Linked DNA regions of Mus musculus: all the other regions are reported to be linked to region 1. Evidence: microRNA targets listed by miRTarBase, many of them from high-throughput screens and not tested one by one. Region 1 holds a microRNA gene; each other region holds the end of a gene's coding sequence.
The links. The annotated mature microRNA mmu-miR-101a-3p reads UACAGUACUGUGAUAACUGAA and lies in region 1 at 3,022-3,042, opposite strand. An mRNA with a match to its seed (bases 2 to 7 or 8) in the 3' UTR can be bound and repressed. Matches are read on the target gene's strand: a 7mer-m8 pairs with bases 2 to 8, a 7mer-A1 pairs with bases 2 to 7 and ends in A, and an 8mer does both.

Region 2: miRTarBase lists Rcor3 as a target of mmu-miR-101a-3p. Seed matches in the 3' UTR shown: 7mer-A1 at 1,026-1,032.
Region 3: miRTarBase lists B3gnt5 as a target of mmu-miR-101a-3p. Seed matches in the 3' UTR shown: 7mer-m8 at 1,201-1,207.
Region 4: miRTarBase lists Dusp1 as a target of mmu-miR-101a-3p. Seed matches in the 3' UTR shown: 8mer at 848-855.

The regions. Positions count from the first base shown.
Region 1 is chr4:101,343,936-101,351,057 of GRCm38, forward strand. Mir101a (microRNA 101a) reads right to left here and starts at 3,092; the gene lies at 3,010-3,092. It overlaps E130102H24Rik (RIKEN cDNA E130102H24 gene), which reads right to left. Exons shown (of 2, transcript NR_040708.1): 2 at 2,589-3,168.
Region 2 is chr1:192,094,470-192,101,588 of GRCm38, reverse strand. Rcor3 (REST corepressor 3) reads left to right here. Exons shown (of 12, transcript NM_001346740.1): 12 at 434-3,043. The coding sequence ends at 778. Among named protein-coding and RNA genes, the nearest start is that of Traf5, 5.4 kb to the right of the region's middle.
Region 3 is chr16:19,768,979-19,776,100 of GRCm38, forward strand. It overlaps B3gnt5 (UDP-GlcNAc:betaGal beta-1,3-N-acetylglucosaminyltransferase 5), which reads left to right. Exons shown (of 4, transcript NM_054052.3): 4 at 1-3,775. The coding sequence starts at 55. The coding sequence ends at 1,185. Among named protein-coding and RNA genes, the nearest start is that of B3gnt5, 12 kb to the left of the region's middle.
Region 4 is chr17:26,499,525-26,506,646 of GRCm38, reverse strand. It overlaps Dusp1 (dual specificity phosphatase 1), which reads left to right. Exons shown (of 4, transcript NM_013642.3): 4 at 1-1,056. The coding sequence ends at 367. Gm34455 (a long non-coding RNA gene) reads left to right here and starts at 2,300. Exons shown (of 3, transcript XR_876694.2): 1 at 2,300-3,707.

The sequences.
Region 1 (7,122 bases):
GTGTGGGGGGATTTTCATTACATTAATTAAGGTTGAAGAGCTGCCCACCATGGTAGGCACCATTCCCTAGGCAGGAATCCATGACAGTGTAACAGGGAGGAAGCAGGCTAAACAGCAGTGTGCATAAACTCATTGCCCTCTCCTTCCTACTATGAACAGAACGTGGCCAGCTGCTTCAAGCTCCTGATGCCTTGAGAAATCCTCTCTCCCTGAATTTGCTTTTGTCAGGGCATCTTATCACTGCAACAGCAAAAGGAATAAGACAACTGCAACATGCCACGTGCATGAACGTGGCTTGTAAGGTCAAGCTTAGGCAAGTAACAAACCTGATGAATTTTTGTAAAACCAGTAGGAGGGAAAACAGGAAGGTCAGGAAGGTGGTGAAATCCACCCGAAAGCCAAGGATTACAAACTTGTTCCTTCTTCAAGCACTTTTTTTCCACCTGCTAAAACACTAAAATTTAGGAGTGTTTCCAATTACTTGAAGACTCACCAATCCCAGAACTTTCTCTTGAGTTCTTTCAGGGTTTCTGTCAAAAGTTCCTTTCCAAGGAATTTTAAGAGCGGCCCTCCCTCTCTATAACCCACCAAGGGGAGCCTGGCTCATGGTTTATGAGAAACTGTGTGAAGACACTTTAAGTACCATGCTGTAAACATGGTCAGTGTGGCCAAGCAGGTGTGGCCTACCAGCTTGGCTCCTTTTTGGGTGGATGCCACAGACTCTCTGGGTCCCTGGTCTGTGAAGAACAGGATTTCTTAGGCAGATGGGCAAAGAATATGGATGAAAATGACAGACAGATACACGAAAGATGTGTTGAATCTGAATGTATTGTTCTGGTTGAGCTTTAGACTTATATTACAACGAATTATCAGAGGATACAAATCACAAAAAGACAAGATACACTGAAATTCACCAGTTACAGCAGAAAGAAATTTACAGGGACTAATTAAATGTTTACATTAGGGATAACAAGCCCTGCCTAGGATCAGCCTAATGCCAGGCAAGAATTTCACACTTTAAGGTTAAAAGCATCAGGGGGTTGTTAACTCTTGATAGGCCTTAAGAGTAATGCATTATCACAGAGCTCTAAATTCTTAGGTCTAGTAAAACTATCTTGTCTGGAGAGTTTCCCCTTATCAGGGTAGTATATCAACTTATACTTGACATAGAATGTAGCCTGTAGTAAAAGATTTCTATCTCAGTGAGACTTTTAGTCTCTATCTACAGACAGCTGAGTAAATGACAGATGTTTATATTGTTTTATGATGGGACTAATTAGTTACTGAATAGGTTAAGCTCCTTGCTGCTATCTGAAATCTAAGAACACTGGAAAAAGGCTTTAGCTATGTTAGAATACAATCTTAAAAGGCATTTACTATAAGGTAATACTATATAGAGTGCACGTGGATCTATACACTAGACTAATGTGAGAATGGAAAAATTAATTTTATGGTTTATATAGATTAGGGAGAAAATGCCAGGCCCCTGGGAAGGGAGTTTCCTTGAAACTCTTTGCTTCATGAACTAGCTTTCCAGCTTTCGCTTTGTCAAGCTGACTCCACCAGAGTCCCTGGCAGGTGGAGAAAGGAAAGAAGTGAGAGAGAGAGAGAGAGTAACTGGTAAAGAGACGGGGTGGCTCCCGGCGCCTGGTTTTCCTCCTCTGTCCTGGTAGAGAAGTGAGTACTGAAAACTAAGACACTAAGTGGACATGTCAACATATGCTAAAAGTCATATATGGCTTTGCTCTCCTGGCCCATCTGGGTCCTTGCCATTGGTTAAGTTCAAATGGGCATGACTCTTTACATGTAAGTCATGGCTTCAGTTCCTTTACCACGTAGAAAGGATCCCAGACATACATGTTAGTCTAGGAAGAGGTGATAGGACCTTGTTTAAGTTTGGAGCCTAAAACACATATTCCATGCAATTGCCTGGGCCCCACACTAGACTGTGACCCAAAAGTGTCACCAACTGTGGTACTCACTGGCTTGTGTATTCAAAGTCCTTAGGAGGGATGAGTGACAGAGAGAAATGTGATAAATCCTGGGTTCTCTAAGAGCCTCACTCTCTACTCCAATTATATGTCATGCACATGCCGTTGTGTGCATGCATGGAGGAGCCAGAGGTTAACCTCAAGTGTTACTCCTCAGGAGCCGTCCACCTTGTTTTCTCAGTATGCTTGGAGATTCGGTGAGGCTGGCTGGCGAGGAAGCGCCGGGGATCTACCTGTCTCTGATTTTCAGCACTGAAGGATTACACTCACACATTACCATGGCCAGATTTTCACACTGAGGCTGGGCCTGAACTCAGGTCCTTGTACTTACACAAGCACACGCGTGACAGAGCTGTCTTCACAGACCCCACTCATGGTACTTTTTAAGGTGATGTGGGCTGAAGACACATCCTCTATTAAGGTTCTAGATCTTCATGCAACCATGATACTGGCTGGTATCTCTAACTTCAGATCTCTGAAGCTGATCTGTGCTGTCATGTAGAGTGGTCTTATTTACTTAATAGAATAAAATAATATTTTCATGTAGAGGTGACATTCCATAACATTTTTTTTTTGAAAAAGCCATGTCACTATCCATTCCTTAATCAGATATAATTTTATTCATATGCATTGATACTGTCTGACACATAATGCCATTCCCTGTTTAACTCTGACCACCCAACAGTGAAGGACCAAATGCAAAGCTGTCAATTAAGTTACTTTTTTTGTTTATAAAATGGATCGTTTCTCTCCGTTTGAGATATGTTGATTTGTCCTTAGGACTTTCTTAGTGTCAATCTTCCCAGACATGAAAGGTTCCACAGACCCTGTTTGTCCTCAGCATAACCGTCTTCATACCCTGTGCAAGCTGCTACATTGTTTTGCTCCTTGTTACCAAATGGAGCCTGGAAGAGTGGTGAACACAGGAGCGGTGTGAAGTGTGTCTGGTCCTGTCCCGGTGTCCTGCTTCCCATGCCTTTCGCCTGCTGTGATGAGACTTCTCGGGAGGAAGGCAAGATGGCTGCCATCCTTCAGTTATCACAGTACTGTACCTTTAGAATGGACAGCATCAGCACTGTGATAACTGAGCCAGGGCAGCCTGTCAGTCACCGTGTCCGTCAGTGACGTCACCCCCTTCGAAGGTGCCCCTCGGAGTGAAGGACTGAAAGATGCACTTCTGGATGGAGGCAAAAAGCAGAAGAAAAGAGGTCATTTGATGAGGGTGAAGCAGTAAAGACCAATTGAACTACAGTAAAGGAAAGGTGAACACATCTCTCTCTCTCTCTCTCTCTCTCTCTCTCTCTCTCACACACACACACACACACACACACACACAAATGGAGTAAGCACAAGTGAACTTTCTTTCTGGTTATATGCACATCTTACATTTCTCAGTATGTCTCTATGTTCACAGACCGCATCCCCCCAATCTCACACCTATGCACCAAGTGTTTATTCCAGGAAGGTTAAGTTTCAAGCCCTTTCTTAGAGCCAGGCTTGTTGGCGCCAGCCTTTATCCCAGCACTCAGAAGGCAAAGGCAGGCTGATCTCTGTGAGTTCTGTGAGACACGGTTCCATAACCAGACACCAGAGGGTGCTTCACAGCTGCCTGAGAGTCAATACTTTTCTGTTTGTTTCTTCATTTAATTTTTATAAAATCCTACGGAGTTAACAATGAATTGTTCTCAAACCCATCCAAAAAGGAATTATGGAACTAGGTTCAGCAACATGATAGCACTTTACAGATTGAAGAAACAAAACGAAACTCAGGGCAGGAAGTCGGAGAGGGATCCGATCAAGAACCATAAACGTGCATGAAATTGTCACAGAATAACTTCAAAAGTACATGTGCATGTGCATACACACATGTACACACAACACACAGCTGCTGAGGTCACTTAGCAGTTAAGAGTGTAGACTGCTCTTATAGAGAACCTGGGTCCCATTTCCAGAATCCAAACAGTGGCTTACAACCATCTCTAATTCTAGATCCAGAGGATCTGATGCTGTCTTTCTGCACCCTGGGGGCACTGCACACACACACACACACACACACACACACACACATGCACACACGCACAGCACACAGACATACACGCAGACAAAACACTCAAATCCATAAAATAAAAATAAAGCCAGTGAGGTGGTGCACACCTTTAATCCCAGCACTCAAGAGGCAGAGGCAGGAAGAAGTCTGTGAGCTTGGGTCCAGCCTAGTCTACATAGCAAGCTACAGGACAGCCAGGAATACATAAACATCCTGTCTCAAAAAACTAAAAAACAAAAATCTTTTTTAAAAAAGTGTAAAAAAAACCCACAGAAACCCTGGGACATTCTGTGATTTGCCCAAGATCTTATAACTAAGCAACTCAGGTCCAAATTAGTTTCTGTAGACATTGGATCTTCCTTCTCTCCCCTGCTCATCTCATCACTGTCCAGGATATTCAGTTGATAACACTCACAAACATTACTGAGTGTTTTGTACGGAGATCTGGTTTCCTAGTAACCCAGACCATGAAACAGAAACTAATGGTTTGTACTTTCAGAAGTAATTCCCCCCAAATCAGTCTTGCTGCTCTAGACTCTGAACAGTCACGTTGCTGACCCGCTGGGCGGTGCTCACCCACGCCATGCTCTCACTGTGGTTTATGCCAGTTCTACAGGTAAAATCGTGTGAGGCTAGAAATCTTTGGGATGACTTTTACATAATAATAATCAATATATTACTAACATATTTATTAATAAAATCACTAACATAGGGTGTAGTTATTAATATACAATATAACCATTACCACACATTATCTATTATAGTAGGTATAATAGATAATAAATTATTAATGCAATAATTAAAATAATAATAATAATGGATACAGGGTTTCTCTCTGTGGCCTGGCTGTCCTGGAACTTGCTATAGATCAGGCTGGCCTCAAACTCACAGATCTATCTGCCCCTGCCTTCTAAATGCTAGGACTAAAGGCATGCACCACCACTGCCATGCTGGAATGTGTCTTTTAAAAAAGGCAACACAACATCACTTTCATTATTAGTAGCTGTACCTTTGAGACATACCCTAAAGTTACTTCAGAGAGGAGTCCTGTTTTTAATAAAAGGTACAAAAAAGGGCTGGGCATGGTGGCGCATGCCTTTAGTCCCACTAGGGAAGCTGAGGCAGGTGGATCTCTGTGCCTTCTAGGCTACCCTGGGAGGTGTTTAAAAAGGTCTGTAAGATCAGAATGTCAACATAAGAATACCAACGTTTTAAAACCATGATTCATTCCATTTTCCCATGTCAGTCACATCTCAAACAATTTCAGCATGAGCAGAGCTTGACAAGTATTTGAAAAATAATGGTGTTTTCAATTAGTCATTTGCTCAATTTCAAAGACTCACTATATGCAGATCAGACATTAACTCTGCCTCAAATAAGTCAGATAGGCGAATCAATTCTTTAGATCAGGAGTCAAAAACCAGAATAGCACAATGAATGTAGCTCAGCAAGTAACTCTATGTACTACAAAACTGACCTTCATCTTTAGAAAAGTGATAACCAAATGAAATAATCTACCTCACAGAAATTAAAAACAACCTCTCCAAAGTGCAAAGATAGCTAAAAGTTAAGGCGTCATTGGCAAGTAGGGCTTAGCAAACTGATGTAATACATATTTGAGGCACAAGGTGGCAGTGAAGATTGAAAGAAAGAACGAGCTGGTGCCCACAACTCTTGATTCCTGGAAATGGTTGCACGTTTTCACCCAAATCATACGCAGGTCATGTGAACAAAGCTAGTTTGATTGTTACAAAAGAAAAAAGTTTGGAGATCTGAGTAACCAAAAAGTATAAAAATACTAATGCTTAGTTTCTCCTGACCACAGAATCTTCTCCATCTATGGAAACACACTTGAATTCCAGCGTTCCAGAGGCAGAGGCAGGCAGATTTCTGAGTTTGAGGCCAGCCTGGCCTACAGAGTGAGTTCCAGGACAGCCACGGCTACAGAGAAACCCTGTCTTGAAAAACCAAACCAAACTAACACCAACACCAACAAAAGACAAAACAGCCAGACATAGTGGGCCGTGCCTATTCAATCCCAGCACTGTGGAAGCATTATGGCTGCGTTGAGTTCCAAGTCAGCCTGAGCTAGAGGGTGAATTCTAGGCCAACCTTAAATATAGGGAGACCCTGTCTTAAAAACAAGCAAACAGACAAACAAAAAACAAGACAAGACAAAACAAAACAAAACAAAAAAACCCAAAGTTTAAAAACAAAACAACAAAAAAAGAACCAATTTCTTCGTAATTACTTCTCCGAAAAATTTCTTAAAATCCAAGTCCTTCAGGGACAGTGCTGTGCCATATACCTTGCTCCTGAGTGACACAGAATACAAATGATCTGACTGAAGGTACACTGTGCTCCTGCCAACTGCAAGCTAAAAAATTAACATATGACCTGAAGCCATTAAACTGCCTATGTGTTACATAACTGGAGGCATGGGAAGTTGCCCATAAGCCAGAACTGTTTGAAGACTGCTGCTGGCTAATTTAAATCCCCAACTCCTTTAACTTGAAAACCATAAACCAGCTGACTGACAATATTAAATAGTATGGCAGTGTCCTGGCAGCAGGGGTCTCCACATCCGCACTTGCCTGGCCAGGAGCCTCAGTGGTGCATGCAGTGTGCACCTTGCTGCAAACTCGGCTATATTACACTTTAAGAAACTAAATGTGCCAAAGACTTGTGGAAAACCCTGGAAAAGGTTGCAGATTGGTTTGTTGTTTTTTGTTTTCCCTCTTCCTTGAGGAGAAAGACCGGTTAAAAGTCAAGGCAACACGTTCTGTTCAAAGCCAGCCCTGACATTCAAACACAGCCAGCACCAAGACGCGCACATCACTGTCCCATCCACTTCGGGCACTGGCCTCGAAAATGTTCAGGCTGCACAGCAGCAGGCCCATGTAGATGAGATCAAACCAGCATCCTTCCAGAGAAGACATGTACAAAGTCCCACAGGCAGGGGGCTGGAGAGATGGCTCCGTGAGTAAAACTGCTTCTTTCAAAGGCTGATGCCTGGAGTTCCATCCCCGGAGACCTACATGATGCAAGAGAGGACAGACTTCCACAACTTCCACACAAGTGCCA
Region 2 (7,119 bases), not on the chromosome of region 1:
AGGAGCCGCCCCGCCCTTCTGGTGGTGTGCTGTGAGGGTGTGTGAGGACTAGCTAAATGAGCATAAGGCTGACAATACACTTCCTCGTGAGGCGTCTCTGACTGCTTAGTCATAAGGACATGCCAGCTTCTGGTCCTAGCAGAGCGAAAGTGTATTATTTCTACTGTTAAGCTGTTTACTAATAAAGATGTCTGTTTGGTAGCCTTGTTGGGTTTTTTGTTTCTTGTTTTTGGGTGGGGAGGAGGGTTGTTTATTTTTATTTTGTTAAAAATAAAAGAAGCCTGTGCTTCCAATAAACACTGGTGTTATATTTTGGTTTTGGTTTTATTTGTTTTGTTTTGTTTTTCCTGTGACAGCCCAAACTATATTGTACCAAGTTTGTTAGGACTTAAATCTCACACAGGTATTTTTATTTTTGTTTCCTCACCTCTAGGCACAGACCCCACAGGCTCCTCGGACTCTGGGTCCATCACCTCCTGCCCCATCATCCACTCCAACACCAACAGTCCCCATTGCCACTCTGAACCAGCCTCCACCACTTCTTCGTCCAACACTGCCTGCCGCCCCTGCTCTTCACCGACAACCTCCTCCACTCCAGCAGCAGGCTCGGTTCATCCAGCCCCGGCCAACTCTCAATCAGCCTCCTCCACCTCTCATTCGCCCTGCTAACTCCATGCCACCCCGCCTAAACCCAAGACCAGTGTTGACCACGGTTGGCGGTCAGCAGCCACCTTCACTCATTGGGATTCAGACAGATTCACAGCCTTCACTGCACTAATTACGCTGGACAAAGGCTCACCTATCATTGTACCAGTGCTCATCTGACTGATCCAAACAAGGCAAACTAGTCCTTCCTGTGGCGGGGGTCTAGCCTAAGAGGGTGCGCACACACGGGAAGTGTGGCGGTGGACTAGTGTAAGTGGTGTGACACAGCAGGAGGCCTCTGTTTGGCCTCCTTTCTAGTGCCCACTGTGATCTCATGGGAAGAAAAGTATTCTGTCTACCAAGGGGTTTTCGTTCATTTTTACTGTATTTATTTTGTTGAGGTTTCTTTTTTCCTGCCTCTTCATACTCAAAACTGTTAGTACAAAAATATTGACTTAGGAATTGTAAAAAAAACAAAACAAAAACAAAACAAAAACAAAACAAAAAAAAAACTCCTTAAGTTCCTTAAGGATGTTTATCTTTCTGCTTTTTTCTTTAATTTAAATTTTTTAAAAGACACTTTCCTATGTTAGGAGTGCAAGATAAATAGCCTGCATTTCAGATTTTGATATGTTCATATTTAAGAAATTATAGCTTCATATCCCTTTTTTCAAAATATGTTGCTTTTTTTCTAAAGGAATTTTAGTATATTCCTTTAAAAGAAAGCAATTAAATCAATTGCAAAGCAATTATATGAAACCACAAAGAATGTATTGAACCTGCTAATCCTTTAACATAGTTTGGGGTCCTAGTGCAAAGTCCTTGTTTAAAGGTCATTGACCCTGTTATCTATCAGTAATAGAGGTTTGGAATCACTCACATGCAGAAAAAGGACTTAAAATTTGGTGAGATATAATGTTTTTTAAGTTCTTTGAAAATATTAATTTTGAAAAAAGAAGTTTCTAAATGCTATTTGCTTTTAGCTAGTATCTGCCTATGTTGGGAATTTAGAACAATTTTCAGTTATGTAGAGATGGTGGTTATGGAAACATTTATTTACAGTTTATCTTCTGAACTTAAAGTTCATACTCACTAAGAGGATCTGTGTTTGATACAAAGAGTGTTTGGTTTGGTTTGGTTTTTTTTTTTTTTCCTTGCTAAATCTCTGTTGAACATCTGAATACATTTGTATGATCCTTTCAACCAACCTGAGCTTGTGGTTTGATTTAGGGCTAAGTCATCGGCATCACAAGATGAGCTCATTGTGTTGTTGCAATAATTGTGCCGTTAGCTAACGTACTGAGATCGTTTTTATGAAGAAACAGAGGCTTAAGGCCTTTTTATTCCAATGCAAAGTCATTAGCACCCACAAAGAATATTTTACTATGGCGGAGTTTCAACAGCGTGTTACTGACAGCTTTGATAGAATGACTTCATATGGGAAGCATGGCTTGCTGTAGAGGGACACTTGCTAGGGCCGCAGGCTGCCCACATCAGAGGGGTCATGTTTCCTTAAGTACTGGAAAAAAATAATCCCTTTATGGGCTCTCCAGCCCATTGGTCAATTTTAATTTTCAGCTTTCCCTTCAAAAGGACCCTCTATTCTGATGTGATTGAAAGTGGCTTGCAGAAAAGGCCCTTTTTTTTTTTCTCATCAGATCACCTTAATAGTTTATGCCCCGTATAAAATGTAACTGATCTAAAAATAATAATAGAGAATTTATACTTATTTTTACTTTAAAAGCCATGGAAGACGGTTATGTATCTTAAACTGTCTAGAGCATTTTTGAAAGCACTTGTCTTGTGTACGTGCATATTATACCGTGACAGCTTTCATCGTCTTGTCTCTCGTCAGTAGACCTGCAGTACAGTCTGTGGGAGATGTCAGTCAAGTTGTTCAGCACCAGCATCTGTCCAGATGTTCAGTATCTGTGGCTTAGGTGCTGTATCTGAGGGATGTGTTGCAATTTTCTTTACAAACACTAGAGCACACAGTAGAAGAATAGTAGTTTCATTAGTAATATGACACATGTATATAGTGAGATGTCTTCATTGTGTGCTTTGCATATTTTGTAAATATTTTGCACGTCATTATTTTCCTTTTTTGTTTGAGCAGTGTTTGGCCTGGAAGAGTAATATGCTTGCTGCTTAAAGGATTAAAGATTTAAAGGTGTCCATGTCTTCTATTTTTATATAACCTCATATTGTATGAGAATTTAGGACCTCTCACTGTGAAATTCTAAGTACTGGTTTATATATATATATATAAAGCAAAGCCTAGAAATTTCTTAATGACCATTTTTGTTAATTCTGAAGTTATCTTTTTTGAGAGATCTACACCAAAGTGTTTTTATAACATAACTAAAAATAAATCACATTGTTGCTACTACTGTTAAAATTAACGAAAAAGTATTTAATTCCAGTGTAATATGGATGGAATCAAAGGTAAGTTACGATCAAGAGTGAGCTTACGATTGAGTAGAATTGAGTAGAACACACAAAGTGAAAGAATGTAAAATTCTGTTTTATGTGGAGTGCCATCAGAAGGTGTGGCCCATGTTAAAATGCCTCTTCCCAATCAAGAAGGCTTCATGGGTATGCCCAACTGCTTGGGTTTTAGCTGACTCCAGATGCGGTCAAGTTGACACCTAAAATGAGCCACCACACATACAGTCCACCAAGACTTTCATCCTTGTCTGTCTGTTACTGAAGGACCACAATGGTACCTGGAGTCTTTCCTTTGTGTTTTTAATATCAGGTGTTGGCATTTTCAAGCAACCTCTACCCCGTACTGCCCCAACCTTTCCTTGGATCTGTGCTCCCCTCTTCTGTGACTGTCCCCATGTCACATCCTTTGTCCCTCCCCCTTTCCTCAACATGTCTTCTGTCCCTGAACACTTAATGAGGAAGCAGTGAAGGGAGATAGTAGTTGCATTGGGGTATTTGCAAGCTGTCATTAACAAACTGGAGACTACAATGAGGGTGGGTTTTCCAGGTGTGACATCTTAGAACTCTGGCAGGAATTTGGGTGAGCAAGGTTTTTAAGGACAATGGTGGGGTGCTGTTAGAAATGGGCCCAAGACCCCAGGAAAACGACTACACAATCCAAAGTATGTCATGACAGCAAGGCATATATATATATATATATATATGTGTGTGTGTGTGTGTGTGTGTGTATTATTTCAAACTAAGCAGGCAAGTGCAGCTAGCAGGGTCCCTGTTCAGTCCTTCAAATTCAGCAACCTTGTGCCTGACTCCATGGTCAGTTGGCCCCCAAGTGTGGGGCTGACTCACTGTTGAGAAGAGGGGGCAACCCTGAAAACGTATTGTGATTTCATGAGGTCCTGACCCTGAGGGGACTTGAATTTCTGCCAAGAGGCTTCCTTACAATTCTTTAATAGAATTTTATCGAATTTAACCCTCTGATGGAAAAGACAGTCCATTTTGCTTACATTTCCCACCATAGGAGATATGAGACTGAAGAGCTGTCTTCAGGGGTATCCACATTTCCCCAGGTGTAAAATAACAGCAGGTCTAGATTCAGAACAATAAGACCCCTAACTAAAGTGCTTCCTCACACAGACACCAGACACAAGAAGTGTGAAAAGAACAGGCATGCGGAGTCAAACGTGCTCTGCAACAAACTCAAGAGGACGGGACCACTTCCCGTATCAGCTCGTAGCAAGGCAGAACAAGAGACATGTGCATGTCTTAGGTTTCTAAGCTAGAATTGCAGCTACTGTGCACATAGGCTTAGAGAATGCAGTCTATGTATATGGATATTGCCTGCTGCTAGGAACTGCTTCACTAGTGAATGCAGTGCTGGCAGCCCCCAAAAGAGCATCAGTTCCCCTGCAATTGGAGCTATACACAGTGGAAAGCTGCCTTGTGGGTGCTGGGAATTGAACCTGAGTCCTTTTTAAAAAAAGCAACCAAGCCAGGCGTGGTGGCACACGCCTTTAATCCCAGCACTCGGGAGGCAGAGGCAGGCGGATTTCTGAGTTCGAGGCCAGCCTGGTCTACAAAGTGAGTTCCAGGACAGCCAGAGCTACACAGAGAAACCCTGTCTCGAGAAAAAAAAAAAAAAAAAAAAGCAACCAGTAGGGTTGGAGAGATGGCACAGTGGTTAAGAGGACTGACTGCTCTTCCAAAGGTCCTGAGTTCAATCCCCAGCAACCACATGGTGGCTCACAACCATCTGTGATGGGATCCAATGCCCTCTTCTGTTGTGTCTGAAGACAGCTATAGTGAACCTTTGTAAATTAAATTTTAAAAATCTTAAAAATAAATCTTTAAAAACAAAAAGAATAGAAAAAGCAATCAGTGCACTTAACCATCTCTCCAGAGTGTTTGTTTGTTCACTTGGTTTTTTTTCGAGACAGGGTTTCTCTGTGTAGCCCTGGAACTCACTCTGTAGACCAGGCTAGCCTCGAACTCAGAAATCCGCCTACCTCTGCCTCCCGAGTGCTGGGATTAAAGGCATGTAACACTGCCGGGTTTAAGAGTATCTTTAAAAACAAATTTTATCAGTTTGGGGAGATCTGTCCTCTGCCTGTCTTTTTGTTGTAATCAGCCCACCAAAAGGCAGAGCTGAGGGCAGGGTTCTTTGATGGAATGGGAATGATCATCTCTTGCTAGTCAGGAAGATAACTCACAGGTGTTGGTGCAACACACTTGGTAAGCCAGCAAGTCTTCTATGCACACCACAATCAGAGGCTTGCTTTCTGCTGGGGATTGCTGCTTGCCATCCTTTACACGAGCCACCTGATGAGCAGGCTTTCCACTGTAGCCTACAATGGAAGTTAATCATGCAGCTTCAAGCCCAAGGAGGTTAAATGTGCAATTTGAAGCCCAAAGAGATGTTTTCTCCTTGTCTGACTACATCTACCATTAGGTGATAGTATGTATTTTTTTTCACAAAAATGTTTATATTGATTCTTTGGGATATTTATATCATCCATCCAGATCATACTCACTTCCCCGTTCTTCCATGTCTTCCCCACAGCCCTTGTGATTACACCCCAATTTAAAAAAAAATGCATTTGTGTTGTCTACATACTCACTAGAGCATGATCAGACATCCAGTGGGCAGACCCCTAAGGAAAGCTGGGTTCTTCTCCACTGTACACTCACCAAGGCATCAAAGGTAGAGAGCTGCACCTCAGTTTATCACAGGTTTTAAGAGTTCTCTTCGGCTGGAGAAATGCCTCGGTGGTTAGGAGTACGGACTGCTCTTCCAGAGGTCCTGAGTTCAATTCCCAGCAACCGCATGGTGGCCCACAACCATCTGTAATGGAATCTAATTCCCTCTTCTGGTGTGTCTGAAGGCAGCTACAGTGTACTCATAAAAAAAAAATAAATCAATCTTTTTTCAAAAAGAAGAGTTCTCTTTGGTGGCTTCCTTTTTAGGCTGTTACATGGGGGGTTGGGGTGGTGGTATCATCTACCATTAGGTGATAGTATGGGCTTCCATGCCCCTCTTTCTCAACTGCATCTGCAGTCATCATCACTGCCAAAGTAGCTTCCTTGATCTTTACAGTCAGCTGGAGCTCAGATCATGGCCTTCCTCGTGGTTTCTGGAAACAGCCAAGACCATGAACATGGCCACCTGCTGCACCAAGATCATGGACCCAGACAAAGCCCTTGAAGGCAGCATGGGTTCAGATATCACTGTGGCCTCTGGTGGCAGCAAAGGCCACTCAGATCAGTATGGCCTCTGTTGGCAGCACAGCCCACCAACATGGCTTCAGACCAGAGCATAGACTGCAGATATATGCATGGTATTTGGTGGTAATATGGGCCACGGACATCGACTCGACCCCACCGCATCAGGACCACACATAGCCTTCATGGGACCATGAGCCATGGTGGTGCCTCCATAGAGGTCCAATCCAGAGAGTGAACCGTTCCCCATCTTGGGCCTCTGCCATTTCCCAGAGCTAGGACAATCCCGTGGCCTGATAGTGTGTTTGGAGCTGGGGGATCAGCATCTGTCTACGCTGTGAGGTGCTGCACATCATCCCACCGACCCCACTATCCACCTCAGCCCTCTCTCTCAGCCTCTCCCTCTTCTCGGCTCTAGCTCTGCCTCTCCTCATAGCGCACAGTGCTCTGCTCTTCCGTCTTTCCCCATCACCACAGCACATTTGTTCATCTTAATGGCGTCTGCAGGCCCTGGGACAGCCTTTGCCCTGTCCAGCTTCTGCCTACCTGCCCTGGAATTATGCTTTTTGTCCTCAACTAACACATGACTTCATCAGTCTTGTTGTATAAACTGAGGGAAATAATGCATTCGACCAACAGGTGGCAGCCTTCCCTCTTCATCAGACTGCCCAGTCACACCAACCAGTTAAACCACTGGTGGTAGGTAGAGTGTCCTGAAGAATCATATATTTGCCCTTTCCTTCTGAAGAAAGAGTTTGTGTATCATGCCATCCTTCTCTTTATAAGTGACTCTAGTTTAAGGACTAGTAA
Region 3 (7,122 bases), not on the chromosome of region 1:
AGAGCTCTATAGCCCTGAAGAAGCAAGCAGCCATATACCCACAGACCAGAGAACATGAGACTGTTTGTTAGCAGAAGAGTCAAAAGATGGAAAATTTTTCACTTTTTTGTCACTTGTTTTATATTAAGCTTCATGGTTTTTTGGAGCCCAATCAATAATTACATCATGAGCCATATGAAGTCCTACTCCTACAGATACCTCGTAAATAGCTATGGCTTTGTAAACAATTCCCTGTCTCTCAAGCACAGCTCTGTGCAGCCTCACTACCCATACTTGATCAACCACAGAGAGAAGTGTCAGGCTCAAGATGTCCTCCTCTTACTGTTTATAAAGACTGCCCCTGAAAACTATGGCCGACGTTCTGCAATCAGAAAAACGTGGGGCAATGAGAACTATGTTCAGTCTCAACTCAATGCCAACATCAAAATTCTGTTTGCATTAGGAACTCCTGGTCCACTGAAGGGAAAAGAACTGCAAAAAAGACTAATCGGGGAAGATCAAGTGTACAAGGATATAATTCAGCAAGATTTCATTGATTCTTTCCACAATCTTACTTCTAAATTCCTTCTTCAGTTCAGCTGGGCAAATACCTTTTGTCCACATGCCAAATTCCTGATGACTGCTGATGATGATATATTTATCCACATGCCAAATCTCATTGAATATCTTCAAGGGCTAGAGCAGATTGGAGTTCGAGACTTTTGGATTGGTCACGTTCATCGAGGTGGCCCTCCTGTTAGGGATAAAAGCAGCAAATACTATGTTCCCTATGAAATGTACAAGTGGCCAGCCTACCCTGACTATACAGCTGGTGCTGCCTATGTTGTCTCCAGAGATGTAGCTGCCAAAATCTATGAGGCATCGCAGACACTGAATTCCAGTATGTACATAGATGATGTATTCATGGGCCTCTGTGCCAATAAAGTGGGAATCTTGCCACAGGACCATGTATTTTTCTCTGGGGAAGGGAAAATTCCTTATCACCCCTGCATCTATGAAAAGATGATGACATCTCACGGACACTTACAAGATCTGCAGGACCTCTGGATAGAGGCTACACATCCTAAAGTAAAGAACATTTCAAAAGGGTTTTTTGGTCAAATATACTGCAGGTTAATTAAGATAGTTCTTCTCTGCAGACTGACTTACAGGAATTCATACCCTTGTTGGGCTGCATTTGCTTAGTAGTACATGAATGCTGTACTGTGTTAAGTGTCACTGAGCCAAACTTGAATGGAAAATAATAATCTGTAAATGTTTCTCTCTACCCTAAGTCAAATGAATTGAAAGCAAAGAGATTCATTTCAAAACCCAGTCAAACTGGTCAGTGTAACTCCAAATTAAACTGCAGCTTAATTTCATTTCAAGGAATTCATATTCTAAACGACTTAGATCATGAGCAAGGGTAAAGTAAGAATTTCAAGTTCTCATTTGGTTCTACACATGTATTTAAGGTATGGAGAACACCTGAGAAGCCTTGATATCAAAATAATAGTTTGGGGAAGATACCTGAGAAATATATAATATAGCATTTCTAAAAAATTAATACCTCTTAGAACAAGCAATCCCAATTATCTTATTAAAGAGTTCTAGGTAGAGGTGGAGGGAGGCAGGTGATGCAGAAGGAACGTGATGAAAGGTTCATCCGAATGAGGACATATGTGGAAAATGTATATAATTTCTTATAGTTAAGTCGTTTAACATTGGCATTCCTACAGCCAGTTACCTAGGCAGTTCTGGAATCATTTAAGATATATTTGTTTCATTTTCTCAAATTTAATTTTTAGTGTAAAAACTTTAGAAAGTGGTCAGCTCTACCCTAATAAAAACTATATGTACGCTTTCTCTAAAGTTATAAAACAAGAATAGTTCCTGGCCCCTGGAGGACCTTCTTTAAAGATAAATCACTATCAACTCCAATAAGCTTGTTTTAATTTAATGAATTATTCAATGGCTTTTAAAACACTAGATATTGGCCTCTGTTTAAGGTAGTTGTTTGGATGCAGCTTACAATGAGGAGTATAATAACAGAAGAGACTTAAAGGAAAGATAGAACTAGGGGTATAGCTCAGCATCCAAAAGGGAAGACAAAGAAGCAATAAAAGTCTCTTTTCCTTGTAATTGTAACATCAGCTTGGAGTCCAGACCATGGCACTCAATACTCAAATGCCGCTTCCAATAAGGTCTTGTAGGACACAGATTTTGTTCCAAGTGAAGACTTTTAGCTTGAAAGTTTTTAATATAGTACCACGTCTAAAATAATCCATTATTTGACTCAATAGCTATCAGAGGTTATCTTTTAAATATTTCAAACATGGGAGCAAAATAAGAGTGCTAGAGAAACTGACCAAATGAGATTAGAAATGTTGGTAAATCTGCATGTTCTTTGTAATCAGAGGCTTGGCAGATCTAATAAATTAAATTACATTTATTTTACAAAATAGGATTAAAACATGTGGCTGGTATGCAAACAGTGCACCAGCACAGAAAGGACTAAGGGGTATTCATCGATTAAGGACCTGTAATGCAGGTCAAAACACGATTTCAGCAAATGAAGATGGATGCTTAACAACCCTCAGACAGATGCATATAATAGGGAAAGTTTAGCTACTATTATTAGGGTGGTTTTGGAAACAATGCAAAAAAATCTAAAAATACACAACTAAATGATATCTGTGTTTTCACAGGTAGATTTTTTTTAAAAAAATGTTTACAGAAATCTTTGTGAAGTTTTTTATTATGAGATATGAAGCTTGTTTATCCTACTCGGGTAGTTTCCTACTAATTTCAAGACTAGTGTTAAACATTCTAAGGTAGTTATCTTAGGGTAGATTCAAGGTTTTAGATGACTAACAGTTCAGATTTTCTGATCAATTTTTTAAACACTAGAGAATAAAAGTGTACTAGAGAATAAAAGCAGCTTCATAGTTAATTCTCACCAATTGGCCCTTTGCTAGCTGCTGGCTTTAGGTACACATAGGATAATATGTGTCCACGTTTCTACTTGGAACTGGTAAAAGTTGTCACTGGCTGGAAAATGGTATCTCTCTCTTGTATACAAGATGGTCCATTGACACTGGTACTTTATGAAGCAGTTCTTTGTTTGTTTGATTGAGCTCTCTTGAACCTTGTTCATCTTTTAGTTTTTGCTTAGAATAGAATGGAACTGGTTTGAAGTTAAAGGAAATATTCATTTTGAAACTTGTTCATTTTGAAAGGAAATGCAAGTTTCAAAATGAAAAATAAAATGAAAAAGGAAATAAATTATTGTCCCAGATGGTCACTTGAGTTTTAAAAAATGGCTGCACACAGTAAAACTGCTAAAAACAAAAACTTACCTCATTATTGGTTTGCATCTTTTTTCAGCTACTAATTTTATACCAAAATGTTAAATATTTATATTGTTTGAGTTTCAATCTTGTATGGAAAAAAATAATTAGTAGGTCTAAAAATGCCATGCTTTCCAATAAAGAAGTTAAAAAAATCATCAGTAATGTGAATTTAAAATCCTGTGTGGGCATCATTCTGTGTATCGTCACCTGCTGTCTTATACCAGAAGAACCTGCACTACCCATCCATTGTCCTATGTGTGCTCACCCTGCTGCTGTGCTCACTGGTGGGCTGTCATGGAGCTACTTAAGGAGCTATGCTGTGACTGTGGGAAATGCTGTTTGTCCAGAATGCCATGACAAAAAGCTCTTGCAGTTTTAGTGTATTAAGATGCCATCTAAAGAGGTTAGACTCTATTCATTAGCTGAATAAAAGAAGAACTTGGAAGCATCTGCGTTACTTGGGTGTAGCAGAACTTTGTACCTGCAAGGCATGTCAGTGATGTCTGTAGTTTGGATGAGAGATACTTACCTCAACAGTTGGAAGAAGCCATTAACTATTAAAGTCTACTTTTGTAGTTTACCTGGACATCATAGCTTCAGTGAGAATGGACCCTGAGATCTTGGGGAAGCCAGTTCTCCAATTCTGACTTTAGAAGTCCCATTTCCTTATGTCAATTCCATGATAATGAGAGGGCGTTAGATGTCTCCCTCACTGTTCTTTCTAGGCAGTTATGAATTCTGTACCAGGGCAATATTTAACTTGTTCTCCTCACACCTTTGTTATGCATCACAAATGCTGTTTCCAGTATGGACTCTACACTCTTCCACCTGCCTTTAGAAGTCCTATTTCCTTGTCCTATATGAGTTTGCTTTGCCTACTGCCAACATTATTACAAACTCCATTATTTTCTGTCTCTCCCTTGGCGATGCTGGTTTCTTTTGCCAAGAGCACTATCTGCTTTATTCAGCCAAAGAATACTCTGAGAAGCCCTAGTTGAGGAATCTGAAAGAGGCAAGTCTATGTTAATGACCCACACAAGGCCAGTGCAGTCTTCACACAGGCCCCTCTCTTCCTTCGCTACCTGAAGCAGGCCATGGGGAAGTTATGGCATAGCTCCAGTCTTGTCTGTATGACCCTCTTAACCCATCCCGAATTCCTGTAATTGTCTATGTGTTTCCGTCATGGTACAGAGGCACAAGAACTTGAAAACTTTCAGTATCTGCCTTCTAGAACCACATCCGCACCTGTGATAACTCCCTCTAAAGATTCCATGTCGAGGCTTAATCTTCTTGTCGATGGTAATGCTGAGTACAGGCCTCCAAGATCTGGAGTCTTCATGTAGACCCAAGTGACCCTATGTGACCCTGCCCACAAATCATTTCTAATTTGTAAAGATACCAACAGCCAATACCTGGACATAGGTGAGGTTTGGGATGCTTGGGCTTGAGTCAGAGGAGAAGGACAAGGGGAAAAAGAAGGTGGAGGAGAAAGGAGAAGCTGCCATGGATTAGGTGAGCCATAAAAACATAGCCTTGAGAGCTGGCCAAATGGAGTTAAGAACAGTCCAGATGAAGTGCAGTCAGCAAGTAATGATTCAGGGTTGTCAATAGGAAAGAAGATTCTAATAGCATAGAGGGTAGATATCTGCCTACCTCTAGTACTGATTAAGGTTCATTGTAAATATAAAGGTTGTATGTGTCTTTTATCTGGAAACTGAATGATCAAGTCAGGGTTGAAACACTGGGTCAGGATTAAATTTTCCTACAATAGTTCCATTTTTTATTCTTAGCTACAGTGTAAATTCTGACAGTAGAGACTCAGTATATCCAATTACATAGTAATATTATTCTGGCAAGATATTTACCTATAGAAACCAAAACCTTTCATGGATACTTTCTAGTGTCAACATTTTGCTTACAGTGCTTAAAGCTTTGTAATCTATGCAATACATTCAAAATATTTCACTATTAAACATACTGTACCTACAAGCATGAGCACCAATAACTTTTTACCAGTGATGTATCAAAATTCAAACCTATACTATTAAGAGTAAATAAGGAAATTCATATTAAATGATATAGCTAAGACTAGTGATCACAACATACATATGATGGCAAAACAGAACAGCCTTGTAGATTCTTTAATCTCATGACGAACTTGGGTAATTTAGCCTTAACAATGTTTTATAAGAACATAAGATTTTTATTAATTTCTTCACATATTACCCTTGTATTTCTTATGATAAAATGATTTAGTGGTCTACTATAAATTAATAGTACAATTCATCGGCTAAATGCAAGTGCTTTAGGACTACTATGGCTGTGATAAAAAAATAAATAAATAAATAAATAAATAAAAGAACTGGGAAAGAAAGGATTTCTTAGGCTTACACTTCCATAGCACTTTTCATCACTGAAGGAAGCCAGGACAGAAACACAAACTGGGAGGGAACCTGGAGGCAGAAGCCTGAGTGCTGCTTACTGGCTTGTTCATCCAGGCAAGCTCAGCCTCCTTCCTAATAGGACCCAGGACCACCAGCCTTGGGATGGCACATCCACAATGAGCCAAGCTTTCCCCCATCAATACCAAATTAGGAAAATTTCCCTACAGGCTTGCCTACGGTCCAAACTTATTGAGACATTTTTTGTTTTTCATTTTTTTTAGTTAGGTATTTATTTCATTTACATTTCCAATGCTATCCCAAAACTCCCCCACCCACTCCCACTTCTTGGCCCTGGCGTTCCCATGTACTGAGTCAGATAAATTTTGCACCACCAATGGGCCTCTCTTTCCAATGATGGTCGACTAGGCCATCTTCTGCTACATATGCAGCTAGAGACACGAGCTCGGGGGTACTGGTTAGTTGATATTGTTGTTCCACCTATAGGGTTGCAGATCCCTTCAGCTCCTTGGTTACTTTCTCTAGCTCCTCCATTGGGGGCCCTGTGATCCATCCAATAGCTGATTGTGAGCATACACTTCTGTGTTTGCTAGGCCCCAGCATAGTCTCACAAAAGACAGCTATATCAGGGTCCTTTCAGCAAAATCTTGCTAGTTTATGAAATGGTGTCAGCATTTAGAAGCTGATTATGGGATGGATCCCTGGATATGGCAGTCTGTAGATGGTCCATCCTTTCGTCTCAGCTCCAAACTTTGTCTCTGTAACTCCTTCCATGGGTGTTTTGTTCCCAATTCTAAGAAGGGGCAAAGTGTCCACACTTTGGTCTTCGTTCTTCTTCAGTTTCATGTGTTTAGCAAATTGTAACTTATATCTTGGGTATTCTAAGATTCTGGGCTAATATCCACTTATCAGTGAGTACATATTGTGTGAGTTCTTTTGTGATTGGGTTACCTCACTCAGGATGATGCCCTCCAGGTCCATCCATTTGGCTAGGAATTTCATAAATTCATTCTTTTTAATAGCTGAGTAGTACTCCATTGTGTAAATGTACCACATTTTCTGTATGCATTCCTCTGTTGAGGGGCATCTGGGTTCTTTCCAGCTTCTGGCTATTATAAATAAGGCTGCTATGAACATAGTGGAGCATGTGTCCTTACCGGTTGGAACATCTTCTGGATATATGCCCAGGAGAGGTATTGCTGGATCCTCTGGTAGTACCATGTCCAATTTTCTGAGGAACTGCCAGACTAATTTCCAGAGTGGTTGTACAAGCTTGCAATCCCACCAACAATGGAGGAGTGTTCCTCTTTCTCCACATCCTCGCCAGCATCTGCTGTCACCTGAATTTTTGATCTTAGCCATTCTGACTGGTGTGAGGTAGAATCTCA
Region 4 (7,122 bases), not on the chromosome of region 1:
CATCAAGGATGCTGGAGGGAGAGTGTTTGTTCATTGCCAGGCCGGCATCTCCCGGTCAGCCACCATCTGCCTTGCTTACCTCATGAGGACTAACCGGGTAAAGCTGGACGAGGCCTTTGAGTTTGTGAAGCAGAGGCGGAGTATCATCTCCCCGAACTTCAGCTTCATGGGCCAGCTGCTGCAGTTTGAGTCCCAAGTGCTAGCCCCTCACTGCTCTGCTGAAGCTGGGAGCCCTGCCATGGCTGTCCTTGACCGGGGCACCTCTACTACCACAGTCTTCAACTTCCCTGTTTCCATCCCCGTCCACCCCACGAACAGTGCCCTGAACTACCTTAAAAGCCCCATCACCACCTCTCCAAGCTGCTGAAGGGCAAGGGGAGGTGTGGAGTTTCACTTGCCACCGGGTCGCCACTCCTCCTGTGGGAGGAGCAATGCAATAACTCTGGGAGAGGCTCATGGGAGCTGGTCCTTATTTATTTAACACCCCCCTCACCCCCCAACTCCTCCTGAGTTCCACTGAGTTCCTAAGCAGTCACAACAATGACTTGACCGCAAGACATTTGCTGAACTCGGCACATTCGGGACCAATATATTGTGGGTACATCAAGTCCCTCTGACAAAACAGGGCAGAAGAGAAAGGACTCTGTTTGAGGCAGTTTCTTCGCTTGCCTGTTTTTTTTTTTCTAGAAACTTCATGCTTGACACACCCACCAGTATTAACCATTCCCGATGACATGCGCGTATGAGAGTTTTTACCTTTATTTATTTTTGTGTAGGTCGGTGGTCTGCCTTCACAAATGTCATTGTCTACTCATAGAAGAACCAAATACCTCAATTTTGTGTTTGCGTACTGTACTATCTTGTAAATAGACCCAGAGCAGGTTTGCTTTCGGCACTGACAGACAAAGCCAGTGTAGGTTTGTAGCTTTCAGTTATCGACAGTTGTATGTTTGTTTATTTATGATCTGAAGTAATATATTTCTTCTTCTGAGAAGACATTTTGTTACTGGGATGACTTTTTTTATACAACAGAATAAATTATGACGTTTCTATTGAGCTCTCCGTGCTTTCTTTGGTGACCCCACTCTTGAGCAAGTGGCACAGGGAAGCAGTGGACCACTGTTGCCAACGTGGGTGGGGCTGGAGTCTGCTCCTTTTGGTTGACCCATGGGTTCCGAGGGAGGAATGCAGAAGAACTGTGTGAAGCACTAGGAGAACTGTGTGAAGCACTAGGAGAACTGTGTGAAGCACTAGGAGAACTGTGTGAAGCACTAGGAGCTATGTGAAGCACTAGATCTTAGCAGAGGGTCCTTTAACATGCACAGGCAATGCCATGCCACCCAGGGAACCTGAGTGTCTGCAGAAGCATTTACCTGAATTACCTTCTTTTATTAATCTCTTCCTTAGGAGTCATGGGCAAGATCTCCCCTTCCTGAACTATGTGCAGAATCCCTGGATTAATGCGTTCTCAGGATATACAAAGCTTGGGAGGAGCCGACCCTCAGAGAGGCTCAGGTGTTAAGCAGAGGAAGATGGGAGGCTCTGAGAGCTGAGCAACTGAGCAGGGAATTGGGAACTGTGCTTTGCTTTCTAATCCTATGGCCTTTAAACTTTGTCGCTTGTCTATATCATATGTGTGTGTGTGTGTATCCTTGAACAAGGCTTTTACATCTTTAAAAATAATGCATCAAATAATAATAATAAAAGAACCCAAGCTCTATATGCATGTACAGGGAAGAAATAACTTGCACTCCCTCTTACTTTTTGGAGGGTTTGTACAACGACCTCTACATAGAAATATCATTTTTGGCAGCTGTCTCCTTCAGGTCACTTGCTGTTCTTCATAACTGTGTTTTAGACATAGGCAATTAAGTCACACTTGCTGCAGGGCAGGACTCCGAATTTTCCCTCTTGCCAAGCAGACCAAGGCTGAGAAGGTATAATTGACTACCGAGCGATAATCTGATCTGTAATGTCGAATGAAGTAACAGCAAAGCCCTCGGGTTCGGGCCCCTGGGTGCCTGCTCTTCTGCAGCTCATTTGTGGACTAAGTGCTGTGTGAAGTGGAAGAGGAAACATCCCATTCATCTTGACTGGTGCCATGGTCCTCACCCAGCCCCATTGTTCAAGTCTTGACCCAGAATCTGTCCTTGACATCTCCCCCCTGCCACGTGACATCCGGGTCTGAAGAGCCTTGTGTTCTAAGACAGAAGAACTTGTCCTGTGCTGGCAAGCTCAAATCCTTGGCAGGGTTTGGGGTGAGTGGCTGCATGCTTTTTAAAACAAACTGTTTTTTTTTTTTTTTTTATCAAGCTCTTCAAGCTCTAGATATTTGCTGTTGTGAGTTGATCCCTTCGTGGAAATGTACCAGCAATGGCAATCCCGTGGCAGATGCAGGGACTGCCTTTCCCGTGGGCCTGGGCCTCTGCTTTCAACTTGGCAGCCACTGGCTGAACCCAAATTAATCTCCAGTGTGTGAGCCAGTCAATGGAAAAATACAGAGGCTGCCTCAGGGAGCTGCCAGGGAAAACAGTTCACTCATGTCTCCTCACAGCCCAGACCGGGAGCGATCCCTCTCACGGGTCACCTTTGCTGAGATGCTGCAGAAAATGGCAATGCTTGAGGCAAAATCAGTATGAAAATCAGGATGAAAAGATTCCATTTGAATGTTTGTTTCCCAGAGAGAACTGATGCAGACACAACGTAATGTTTAAGGCTCATGTGACAGTGACAGCTGTCAGTTTAAGAGCTGCCACTGAGTTCTGGGGTCCCCTAAGTGTTTTGCCTGTGTTCACAATCTTTCCCAGAGAAAGAGACAAGGCCGCTGAGTCAGTGTCCTAATTATTAGGTGGTCTCACAGAGACTGGAGTCTCAGTGAAGACCAGCCAAAAGAGCTCGAGCGGGGTTGCTAAATGTAAAGTTTTCTAACTAGCTGTGTTCCCCACTAGTCCAGAATTTGGCCTCAGTTTTCTGCTCTGTGTAACAAAGACAACAAAAGCTGCTTCCTGTGCTCACTGAGGACGATGGAGCAACAAATGGATCCCCTTGTCAACAGTGACATCTAGTTTTCCCACCCAGTGAAATGACCGGTTTGCCCTGATCTGAAGGGTCGGTTTCATCCTGGCTCTTTAATTTCAGGCTGCGGAAAGGCATAGATGCCCGTCCTGTGCTTTCCTGTGGTTTCCCCCGGCATCCATCCGATGAGGCTTCAGCCCCCACCACCTCCTCAGCATCCTCTCCTTCCTTTCCGGCGAACTCTGCAACTTGAAGCTCTCCTGCTTTGTACTTACATCCTCTGGCATGCGTCCCCCACCCCACCCTCCCTCCCGTCCACCCCACCCCCACCCCGTCCGTGGTCTCAACTTAACCAGAATGACATCATGGTGCCTACACCTTTAAGATTATATAAATCTGTGATCCCGCCTTGGCCTCCGTTCCCATGGTAACACTGAGGAGTTTCCCTTTTGTGAGGAAAGCTGTCATGTCACTTCCTGCTGCTGACAAGTCAGTTTGGGAGATTAAAATGAAGGGGGGCGGGGTGCCTCTGAGAAGTGCTGGCTGCTTGGTTTCTGTTGCTGTATACAGAGGCAAACAATGCCAGCCTGCTGACCCTGCCTTGCTGGAGCGGGCTTTCCCACACCCCCTAGTGGGGTGTATCCCGGTCACCTGGGGCTGTTTGTCTCCAAAGGTTGCATTCTGGGTAGCAGGTAGGAGGGCTGCCCACCTCTGGGGACTTTTTTTTCTGATGCTGTGCTGGGCAAGTTTGTTCAAGAACAACCCAGTTGAATCCAGCCTCGTTCTGCTCTAGTGTCTGATTAGCTCTGGGTTTTGTTCTCCGAAGAACAAAGGGTCCTCACAGTATTGGCCTTGAAGTGTTGTCTTACAGAGAACTTCTGTTGAGGAAAGTACCTAAAAACAAAACAAAACAAAAAACAAACAAACAAACAAAAAACCCATCTCCTAATGAGCTTTTAAATCTAAGAGCCGTCCCACTCATCCATTACCTCCATTGCGTATCTATGACTCCATTGCCCTCTAATTGGTGAAAGACCAAGCACTTGCTGGTAAGTGACCTCAAACTGGGATGTGTGTGTAAGGAGACCATGGGATATGGATGGAGCCATGAAGGCAGGTTGGTAAAAAAGGACATTCCAGTGTGGCTGGTCAGACACAGGTTGCTCAGGGGTCACCAGCCACATTGAGGCCCGAATGGCGCACTGGGAAAGAAGCTTAGCCCAAAGGACAGCAAAACCGGAGCCTTGAATGGACCATTTGTGGACAGGGAATAGAACATTTGAGTGGGTCGAACCTGTGAGTCCCGGATTTTGATAGTACTCTTGAAGCCTCAGTTTCCCCATCTTTAATGTGGGACAATCACCCCTTGCTCTAAAGGCGATTTTGATTCATGATTTAACTTAATGAAAAGCACATTATTGAGACTTGTGAGTCAGCTGGTCCCCATTCTGTCACAGCATGGATGCCCCTCCCTGAGCAGAGTGCCCTGGCAGAGGGAAACGGGTAAGCTGTCCTGCCTATGTCATGACGCCAGCCTGCATTCACATAATGCCTGTCACTAAGCCTCGCCAGAAGAAGTGGCCTTGCTCTGAGATCACTCCGCCCTGCCCCACTGGCCTGGGCCCTCTGAGAGACAGTTTCCTCATCTGTAAGAGGCACCTGAAGTGTCATCCAGCTTCCTCTCCTGGGCCTAAGGCCCCTCCATCCTCAAGGCCAGGGAGCCTGCAGTCCTAGGCTTCGTTCAGGTTGGCTGCAGAAGCCACAGGCTAGAAGTCAGATGTTTCTTAAGATGGCACATGGGGGGGGGGAACCTTAGAAAAGTGCTAGTGTAATGGACTTGACCCTCCCAAGAATGGGCTTCCCCAAAGCGTCTATGGAAGGAAGGTACCACCTACTCCCAAGTCCCAGGCCTGTCTTTGCCTTGCCCTGGACCACACCATAAAGATGGAATTATGAATCACCACCACAACTGGCATCAGTCACTCATCCATCCCTTCAGTAAGTATGTACTATAAGTACTGATGGTTTGTTAAGCTTTCATAGAATTAAAAAACGAGAAGGAATTCTGGGCTTCATCTACCAGCTGGTATCTGATTGTCCATGGAACGTGTCTCACCTCAAGATCTCAGTCCCGACATTTCTGTAAGAGAGTCATCAAGGGTTTGCTTCAGGCAGGTGCTAAAATCAAGAGAAGCAGACAGACACTGACACTCCGAGTGTTACCCATTAGCTCCTTTGGCCATTCCTGTTTTTAACGGCTCATAAGGAAAAGATAGAGGGCTGGAGAGATGGCTCAGCCATTAAAGGCTAGGTTCACAACCAAAAATATAAGAAAAGGGTAGAAAAGAGTACAGGAACATACACCGACAGTCTCCAACTTTATTCTCCACTCTAGGTGTTTGTCTAGATGGAAATGAAAGTACCCAATAGCACCCTAGAAATAGTCATGGGTCTTATGGGCACCCAAACCCAGCACTTCCAAATGCGTGCCTGGGATTTGCCCCTAAGCCAGGCTCTGTCTGTGGGACATTCCGCCTGTGACAATAGCGGCTCACAATATATTTAAGTCAACAGCAAATTGAGACAGGGCTATCTTCAAAACATATAAATTTTCCAAATAAACCAGTCCTATCATTTTTAAAACAGCCTGTGTAGTACGGCCACCCTCGTACCTTGCCTGTGTTGCTGAAGTAACCCCAGGTGTCTCCTGGGCTCTTCAGCCAGATTGTGAACACTCAGCTGGAAGCTGGTCTCTGCTTTTAGTGCTGATCTGAGGATCTCCCAGTTACTGTGCCTGCAAATGTTTTTCTTTACCTTTGTTACTTTTTTTTTTTAACCTTTGGTTACTTTTGCCCCATGTTGGGCACCAAAATGTTGTGATAAATATTATTTGGATCATTTAGTTCTCAAGTAAAGGACACAAAACCTCTGTAATTATAATAAGCCTAAAGCACTAGATCTGGGCAGACGTGAACCTCTATGATATTTTGTCTACTTCCCTGTCAGTCACTGCAGGGTATCACTCGCCATGTTCCACCTGGGCTGCTCCTGTTCCCACAGACTGGCCCTCATGGCCATGCAGTCATGATCCACCTACCCCATGGTGACTTCTTCCTTCTTCCTCCTCTCTTCTCTGCTTCCTCGTGGTCCCTGCCTCAAACCAAAGCTCTGACTACCTCTCTTCTGCCCAGCTCTAGGCTATAGCCATCTTTATTAGCCAATCATGGATAACTTGGAGAGCAAGGTTTACACAACAAAAGCTGGTAGATATGAGGACCTTCTTGTCTTGGAACAACCAGGTCTTGGGATACAGTATTTAGCATTGGAATACATAGCAGCACCAGCCCACTACACAAGGATGTTTCATTGAACAAAGAATTATAATTTTTGCTTGCTTGCTTTCTTCCTTCCTTCCTTTCTTTCTTCCTTCCTTCCTCCCTCCCTCCCTCCCTCCCTCCCTCCCTCTCTCTCTCTCTTTCTTTCTTTCTTTCTTTCTTTCTTTCTTTCTTTCTTTCTTTCTCCCTTCCTCTTTCTTTCTTTTTTCTCTTTCTTTCTCTCTCTCTTTCTTTCTTTCTTTCTTTCTTTCTTTCTTTCTTTCTTTCTTTCTTTCTTTCTTTCTTTCTCCCTCTTTCTTTTCTTTTCTTTCTCCCTTTCTCCCTTTCTCCCTTTCTCTCTTTCCTTCCTTCCTTCCTTTCTTTAATTACATTGAAGATATAGCCCACTGTCTTCAGGCTTTCTTTGTCACAGTTGGGAAGTACGCTTCTTACTTTTTACTCTTTGATTTAAGATTTTATCTTTGTAAGAAATTTTGATAGAATGTGTCTCTGCAGGTTTCTTTCTATGCATATCACTTATGTGTTGTGCTCTGAGATCTGTAACTTAATGCTGTTTAATACTCTGGGAAATTCTTGTTATTTTTTTTTAATATTCTTTAGATGCTAACATCATTTTTTATTTTACTGGGTGACCAAATACTCTCTGAGTCTTGCTGTTTCTCTCTCTGGAGATTAGCCCAGGGCTTTGTGCATACTAGGCAGGTGCTCTATCACTGAGCTAGACCCCCAGTCTTCTTTTTTACATTTTAAAATGTATTGTTTTGAGAGAGTC